2 linked regions of the Saccharomyces cerevisiae S288C genome follow. The protein of the gene in region 2 purifies or fractionates together with the protein of the main gene of each other region. This does not show direct contact. Each region holds a gene or a part of one and is shown on either strand. Other genes may lie near its edges.

Region 1 (3,716 bases), on a different chromosome or scaffold from region 2:
TTTGGACGCGTTGGTCGTTTGTCATCAAGCCCAAGAACTATCTGTTAGCTTCCGTCAATTTTTTCCTGGGTTGCACTGCAGGCTACCATCTAACAAGAATTGCTAACTTTAGGATACGGAACGGTGATTCTTTTAAACAGGTTATTCACTACATAATAAAAGGGGAGACTCCTGCAGCCGTCGCAGCAAAGCAAACTGCATCCACATCGATGAACAAAGGTGTGATCGGTACTAATCCGCCAATAACGCACTGATTACGTAAACGATAATATGTTCCTGAACTCGCATTTTTTTAATGATTTTTTATGACCTCTTATATATTCTTTCATTATATAACCTCTATATTACATCAAAAGATGGAAAAATATAAAAAAATTAAAAAAAAAAAAAAGAAATTTTTTCCAAAAGAGTATATTTATATGTATGTATACATGTAGGGAAAATAAGAAACTTTATTAATAGTAAAAAAGCATATATACTTTATTATTAACTCTTTTGTTTTTCTCGAGAAGCTTAATTTTGGGTCAATTCAACGACCTTTTTAGCAGCAGGATCTAATTCATCAAACGAATAAATCTTCACGCCTGACTTATTGATAATGTCGCGGCCTTCTTCTACTTTGGTACCTTGCAAACGTGCCACAATGGGGACCCTAACTTCTAGTTCTCTGGCGGCTTCTACCAGCCCCAGGGCAACATAGTCACATCTTACGATACCGCCGAAAATATTGACGAAAATTGCATCTACGTTCTTATTGGATAAGATCAATTCGAAACCTTGTTTGATGGTCTCAGGGGTGGCACCACCACCACAATCCAAAAAGTTCGCAGGATCGCCTCCATTTAATTTGATGACATCCATAGTAGCCATAGCCAAACCAGCACCATTGACTAAACATCCAATGTTACCCTTCAACTTAACAAAATTCAAATCATACTTCTTTGCCTTAACTTCATCAGGATCTTCTTGTGATAAGTCCCTCCAGGAATATATCTTTTCCTGTCTGAATGATGCGTTATCATCAAACCCAAATTTGGCGTCTGTACACATGATTTTGTGGGTTGGATCATGTTCAATTTCACTCAAAGGGTTAATCTCCACTTGTGTAGCATCCCTTTCCATGAATATTTTATACAAATTGGAAACAGCTTTTGCTGCCTCGTCTTGTGCATCGGGACTGAAACCGAGACTCTTGGCAACATCCTTGGCCATTTGTGGGCTCAATCCCTTTGAAGTTTCAATTGAAAATTTCTTTATAGCATCTGGGGTTCTCTCAGCCACCTCTTCAATATTCATACCACCTTGACTGGACGCAATGATCATCGGTTTCTTGGTTTGTCTGTCCATTAGAATAGATAAATAAGCTTCATGCTTTGTATCTACTCTTTTCACTATATATACAGCAGATACTGGCTTCCCCGCTATTCCCGTCTGTTTAGTAATCAGGTTATGATTGAGCATTTCTTTTGCAACATCCTCTGCCTGCTGAGGACTTTCGATCATGTGAACACCGCTTTTGTAACCGGTGTCGAAGTGACCTTTACCTCTACCTCCGGTCAATGCCTGCGCCTTGATGACCAGTTTGTTAGTGTTTAATTTCTTGGCTGCTTCGAAAGCCTCTTCGGGAGTGAACGCTGGAAATCCTTCTGGAGTACCAATACCGTATTCCCTCAATAACTGAGCTGACCTGTATTCATGAATTGACAAGTGTCTCCTTGCTTGTAAAGCAGCTTGCGCGTTTAGCCTGCTTAATTGCCCACACTTTGAAATTAGGGATAAGGATTTTCTTGAGTACATTTTGTTCAGTTGCAATGCTTCAGTATTTTTTTCGATTGTATTGACTCAATCCTTATTAATCCTAACTACCTAAAAGTCAGTTACAAAAAAACTGGACTATCGCTCTATAGTCACTGTTATTTTTCGAGAGAAAACGTCAAAGTGCTGATAAGGAAAACGTCGATCTTATATAAAACCTCAAAGATGTTGACTACGCGGCAATTGAAAGGCCAACCAACTTTTAGAATACTCACTCCGCCGCTGCGGGGAAAAGCCGAGAATTCCCGATGAACACATAATCGATACCAGTTGGAGCATTTTTCTCTGTACCAAGACATAAAAAGAGTTTTTTTTAGTATCTACCTGGCTTTGGTGTTCCATTCAAGGTAGAGAAGTCCTCATACAGTTGGAGAGATGAATGTATCTGTGTATATGTATGTATATATTAATATGGCTACGATGTCGTCTAATACCCCTTCTTCTTTTGTTTGGTGATGTGTGCACGTAACACTTTTTGCTTGTCTCGTAGTGACATTTTTTGTTTACCTCTAACAGATCTCTTGTGAATAGACATAACAAAGTTCTTCCTTCTTTCTTTTTCTCTGTTGGTAGTAGAACGCATGTTGTCACGCTTACCGCGTCTACTACCAAATTTGTCTCTACCTTCACGACCTTCCAACACCTTTTGTAATCTTTCCTCACGAGACTGTTTGTATTTGATAGGGCCTGTTAGTGTACTTGCATCAACTAACTCTTCACGCTTGTCTTGTTTGTGGATACCCATTATTTTAGCAACGCTTTCCTCATTACGCAATTCTTGTAGTTTAGCGAAATCTGCCGGAGTTAAAATACGTGTAGAAGCAATTTCACGGAAGGCAGCTTCGGGATCTATATCTGCATCTTCTTGCTCATCCTTCACTTCTTTTTCATCGTCATCATCGCTTAGTTCCAAATCGGAATCTGATTCCTTGCCCTTAGCATTGTCTTTTTCATCGTCACTATCTTCCATATCAACGTCATATTCTTTATCACTATCCATGGTGACCCACTCACCGTCGACATCGTCTTCTTCGCTATCGACATCTACTTCCCAGTTGGCATCAGCGTCTTCATTTTCACTCTCTTCACCATGTTCTTTCTTCCATTTGGCTAACAGTTCGATACCAGCAATCCCTTGAACACTGTTGTCGGCACCAAATTGCGGTCTTTTTGAATCTTTACCTCCTTTCTTGGCTTCTTGTACTTCCATGGCGGCATTCTTACCACGATCCTTCTTCTTTAGCATTTCTGGTGCCACGTCTCTATACAACGCTATCAATGACTTGGCAGCCATATTGACACCTTTAGCTTTAGACCCCTTATATTCTACCAGATCCTGTAGTAGAATCTCATCGATAGCCAAAGGTGCACGAGAGCATATTTCTCTAATGGTATTAATGCCTGCAGCAGCGACTTCATTGGCAACACCGTCTGATACAAACTCGTCTGCAATCTTTCTCACCATGACATTTATAACTTCAGGAGGGACAAGATCATGACATGCTTGGGCACATGCGGACATAATTCTTGTAACATCTCTTTGTTTCGGAGTTAAGTACTTTAAAAAAAAAGTATAAATTCCTAAAACAATTAACTTATGGGTACCAATCAACCTTGATAACAGCTGCATCAAAGATATTTTTTGTTCCATGTCAAATTTGTTTTTCGTTTTGCCTGAAAGATGTTCCTTAAACAATTTTTCGGCAAATCCTTGTGGATCTCTCAAAAGGTGGATAGCACTGAAGTTTAAATACCCTTGAGGAGCACCCGGTCCGTTCTTCTTCTTCTTCTTCACAGTTTTTATGGCATTCTCCAGCTTCTTACCACGTCTACCCGTTTTTTTATTGACTTGCATCTTATGCCTTAATGCATCTAAATCAAACCCATCCTCATCCTCGGAA
Region 2 (3,411 bases):
ATATATTGATAATATAACTATTAGTTGATAGACGATAGTGGATTTTTATTCCAACAAATAGTTTGATAATTTTTGGCATTCCTTTTTTTGGCAAAGGTTATATATAATATTATGTGTAGTTCTCCTCGAGGATATAGGAGTCCTCAAAAAGGAATCTATATTTCTACATAATAATACTATGATTATTTCTCCTTCTGTTCTATATGTTTTATTATCCTATTACGTTATCAATCCTTGCATTTCAGCTTCGTCTAACTTCGATGACAGTTTCTCATATCTTATGTCATCGTCTAACACCGTGTATGATAATATATTGGTAGTGTGACTACTAGTTGTTAGACGATAGTTGATTTTAATTCCAACACTTACCTATTTATCAGTGTCATTACTAAGAAGGAAATTTTTCATTAATAGTATATAACGTGCTGAGTCTTCCCAAATTGATTGAAACGCGCAAGTGGTTCAGTGGTTAGAATTTATGCTTCCCAAGCATGAGGCCCGGGTTCGATTCCCGGCTTGCGCATCTGTTTTTGCAAAACAGACTAGGAAATTCAGACGTTTTGTTATTTTTTTTTCCATTTCAATTATTAAGCTTTAATCAACCTTTATGTATACCCTTGTTAAGAAGAACATTAAATACAAACACTATTAAAAGATTTTTAGTAGAATTTATAAGGATAAATGAATATATACAAAGGGAAAAATTAACATAGAATGTTGAGTAAAAGCTCTGAAAAGAAAACGGATGTCAGCTCCATACTTGTCTAAGCAATAATCGAGACATAGAAGTCTTCCTCTTTTGAAAGCAGTTCATTCTCTTCCTAATATAATCATTTAAATTTGGCAAATTGATCCAGTAAAGCTTGACCTAAGTAACCTGGAGATTCAACGACGGCAACACCAACATCTCTCAAAGCTTGTTTTTTGGATTCTGCATCAGTTCCAGATCCTTCTACAATTGCACCGGAGTGACCCATTCTAACACCTTTCATTTGACCAGCAACAGTTCCTGCGATGAAAGATGCCACCGGCATCGGCTTACTCCTGCTAAAGTTGTATTCTTTGAGAAATTGAGCAGCTTCGATTTCGGCCTTACCACCTATTTCACCTAACATAATAATACCTTCTGTAGTTTCATCTTCTAGAAATAATTTCAAGGCGTCAATAAAATCAGTACCGGGAAAAGCATCACCACCCATACCAATAACCAGTGATTGACCAAGGTCAGTTTTTGTAGTTTGCTGAACAGCTTCGTATGTCAAAGTTCCCGATCTGGAAATAATACCGATTTTACCAGCTTGAAAAATTTTTGGGGGCTGGATACCAATTCTTACCTTTGTTGCTGGGTTAATGATACCAGGGCAGTTGGGCCCAACTAATCTTGTTTTATCTTGTGTCTGCAACATTTCTGCAATGTATAACATGTCATGTTGAGGAATACCTTCAGTGATACATACAGCTAACGGAATTTCAGCTTCAATAGATTCTTTAATGGCAGCAGCTGCGATCGGTGGAGGAACAAAGATGGCACTGGCAGTGGCTCCAGTCTCCTTAATCGCGTCCTTCACAGAGGCAAAGACAGGTTGGCCTAAATGTGTTTGACCCGCCTTTTTTGGGTTCGTACCACCCACAACATTTGTACCATATTCTTGAGAGATGCTGGCATGAAAAGTACCTTGTTTACCTGTGAACCCCTGAAAGATCACCTTGGTGTCCTTGGGAAGCAGCAAATTTTTGATCGTCTTATCGTAAGGAATAGATTCTCTGTGAAAGTGACGACAAATTTTGAGAGAAGCTTTTGAAACGGTAGATCTTAACATTATCAAACTGAAGAATAAATGGTCTGCAAAAGAAATTTTCTATGAAATCGAACGTATATAGAGTGGTAAGTAACAAACAGAACAACAATTAGGGGAAACTTGTCTCCTTCCAGCTTTTATATCGCTTGATTAAATCCAACTGTGGTAAGCCTATATATACGCAGTGTGCTGTGAACAACTCTCGAACAAGGATACTTAATTGACAATTGCAAAGCACTTAAGGGCTCTATTACCATCTGGATATCAGTCTCGAGAAACGCCTTTTTTGTTTCTGTTTTTATAGCAGCAACTTTGGGTCCGAGGTTGGGGTAGATCCGTTATCCAGCCGCTGGTTGGGCCGTGCAAGATGACTTATTTGAGAATGGCAATATGAATAAATGGAGATGATGAACGCCCACGAAGTAGCAAACACTTTCAGGTAAATTACTAGTCAATAGTACATAAATACAGGGATACAATCGCACCTAACATGTCGCAAGAAGAAGCAGAATCCAGTATTATTTATGAGGAACCCATTGATATTCCGTTAGAGGATGATGACGATGAGGATGAACTGGAAGAAGAAAATAGCGTACCTTTAAGCAGCCAGGCGGATCAAGAAAATGCGGAGAATGAGTCAGACGATAGTGTCGATAACGTAGTTGGATCTGAGACACCCAGAAGTGTAACAGGTCTTTCTGTTGACCCAAGAGACGTTGCAGACGAAGAAGATGAAGATGAAGAAGGGGAAGACGAAGATGAAGACGAAGACGACAATGATGTTGACAATGAGGACGAAAATGATAATGATAATGCCAACGAAAATGAAAATGAATTAGGGAGCTCTAGAGATAAGAGGGCACCACCTGCTGTGCAGACTAGTAAACGTTATAAGAAATATCCGAAGCTAGATCCCGCAAAAGCACCTCCCGGGAAGAAAGTCCCGCTACATCTTTTGGAGAAGAGGAGACTAGGACGTATTAAAGCTGCTGAAGAATTTGCCAAGACGTTGAAAAAAATTGGCATTGAGAAAGTGGAGACAACTACTTTACCTGCCACTGGCCTGTTCCAACCTTTAATGTTAATCAACCAAAAAAACTACTCATCAGATTATCTGAAAAAAGACGATCAAATATTTGCACTTAGAGATAGAAAATTTTTGAGAAATAACAACACTAGCCAAATATCTAGTACCAACACACCAGATGTTATAGATTTAAAGAGTTTGCCCCACTCAGAAGCGAGTGCAGCACCACTTAATGACGAGATAGATCTAAATGATCCAACAGCAACTATCGTGATACATCCTGGATCAAATTCTATAAAGATAGGATTTCCCAAAGATGACCATCCTGTCGTAGTTCCAAATTGTGTAGCGGTACCTAAAAAATGGCTGGATCTTGAAAATAGTGAACATGTTGAAAACGTTTGCCTTCAAAGAGAACAGTCAGAAGAGTTTAACAACATAAAGTCGGAGATGGAAAAGAATTTTAGAGAACGTATGAGGTATTATAAAAGAAAGGTACCAGGTAATGCTCACGAACAGGTAGTATCTTTCAATGAAAATTCCAAACCTGAGATTATTTCAGAGAAAAATGATCCATCTCCTATA

The links.
Region 1: the proteins of LSC1 (region 2) and LSC2 purify together in Saccharomyces cerevisiae (affinity purification with mass spectrometry; 4 studies listed by BioGRID). This does not show direct contact.

What each region holds. Positions count from the first base shown.
Region 1 is NC_001139.9:977,523-981,238, forward strand, and holds LSC2 (succinate--CoA ligase (GDP-forming) subunit beta), read right to left. Parts: upstream 1,798-3,716; coding exon 514-1,797; downstream 1-513. Other genes in the region: MPC3 (mitochondrial pyruvate carrier), read left to right, coding at 1-254; SDA1 (Sda1p), read right to left, coding at 2,243-3,716. UniProt on the Saccharomyces cerevisiae protein: Succinyl-CoA synthetase functions in the citric acid cycle (TCA), coupling the hydrolysis of succinyl-CoA to the synthesis of ATP and thus represents the only step of substrate-level phosphorylation in the TCA.
Region 2 is NC_001147.6:591,466-594,876, reverse strand, and holds LSC1 (succinate--CoA ligase (GDP-forming) subunit alpha), read right to left. Parts: upstream 1,821-3,411; coding exon 831-1,820; downstream 1-830. Other genes in the region: ARP8 (Arp8p), read left to right, coding at 2,290-3,411. UniProt on the Saccharomyces cerevisiae protein: Succinyl-CoA synthetase functions in the citric acid cycle (TCA), coupling the hydrolysis of succinyl-CoA to the synthesis of ATP and thus represents the only step of substrate-level phosphorylation in the TCA.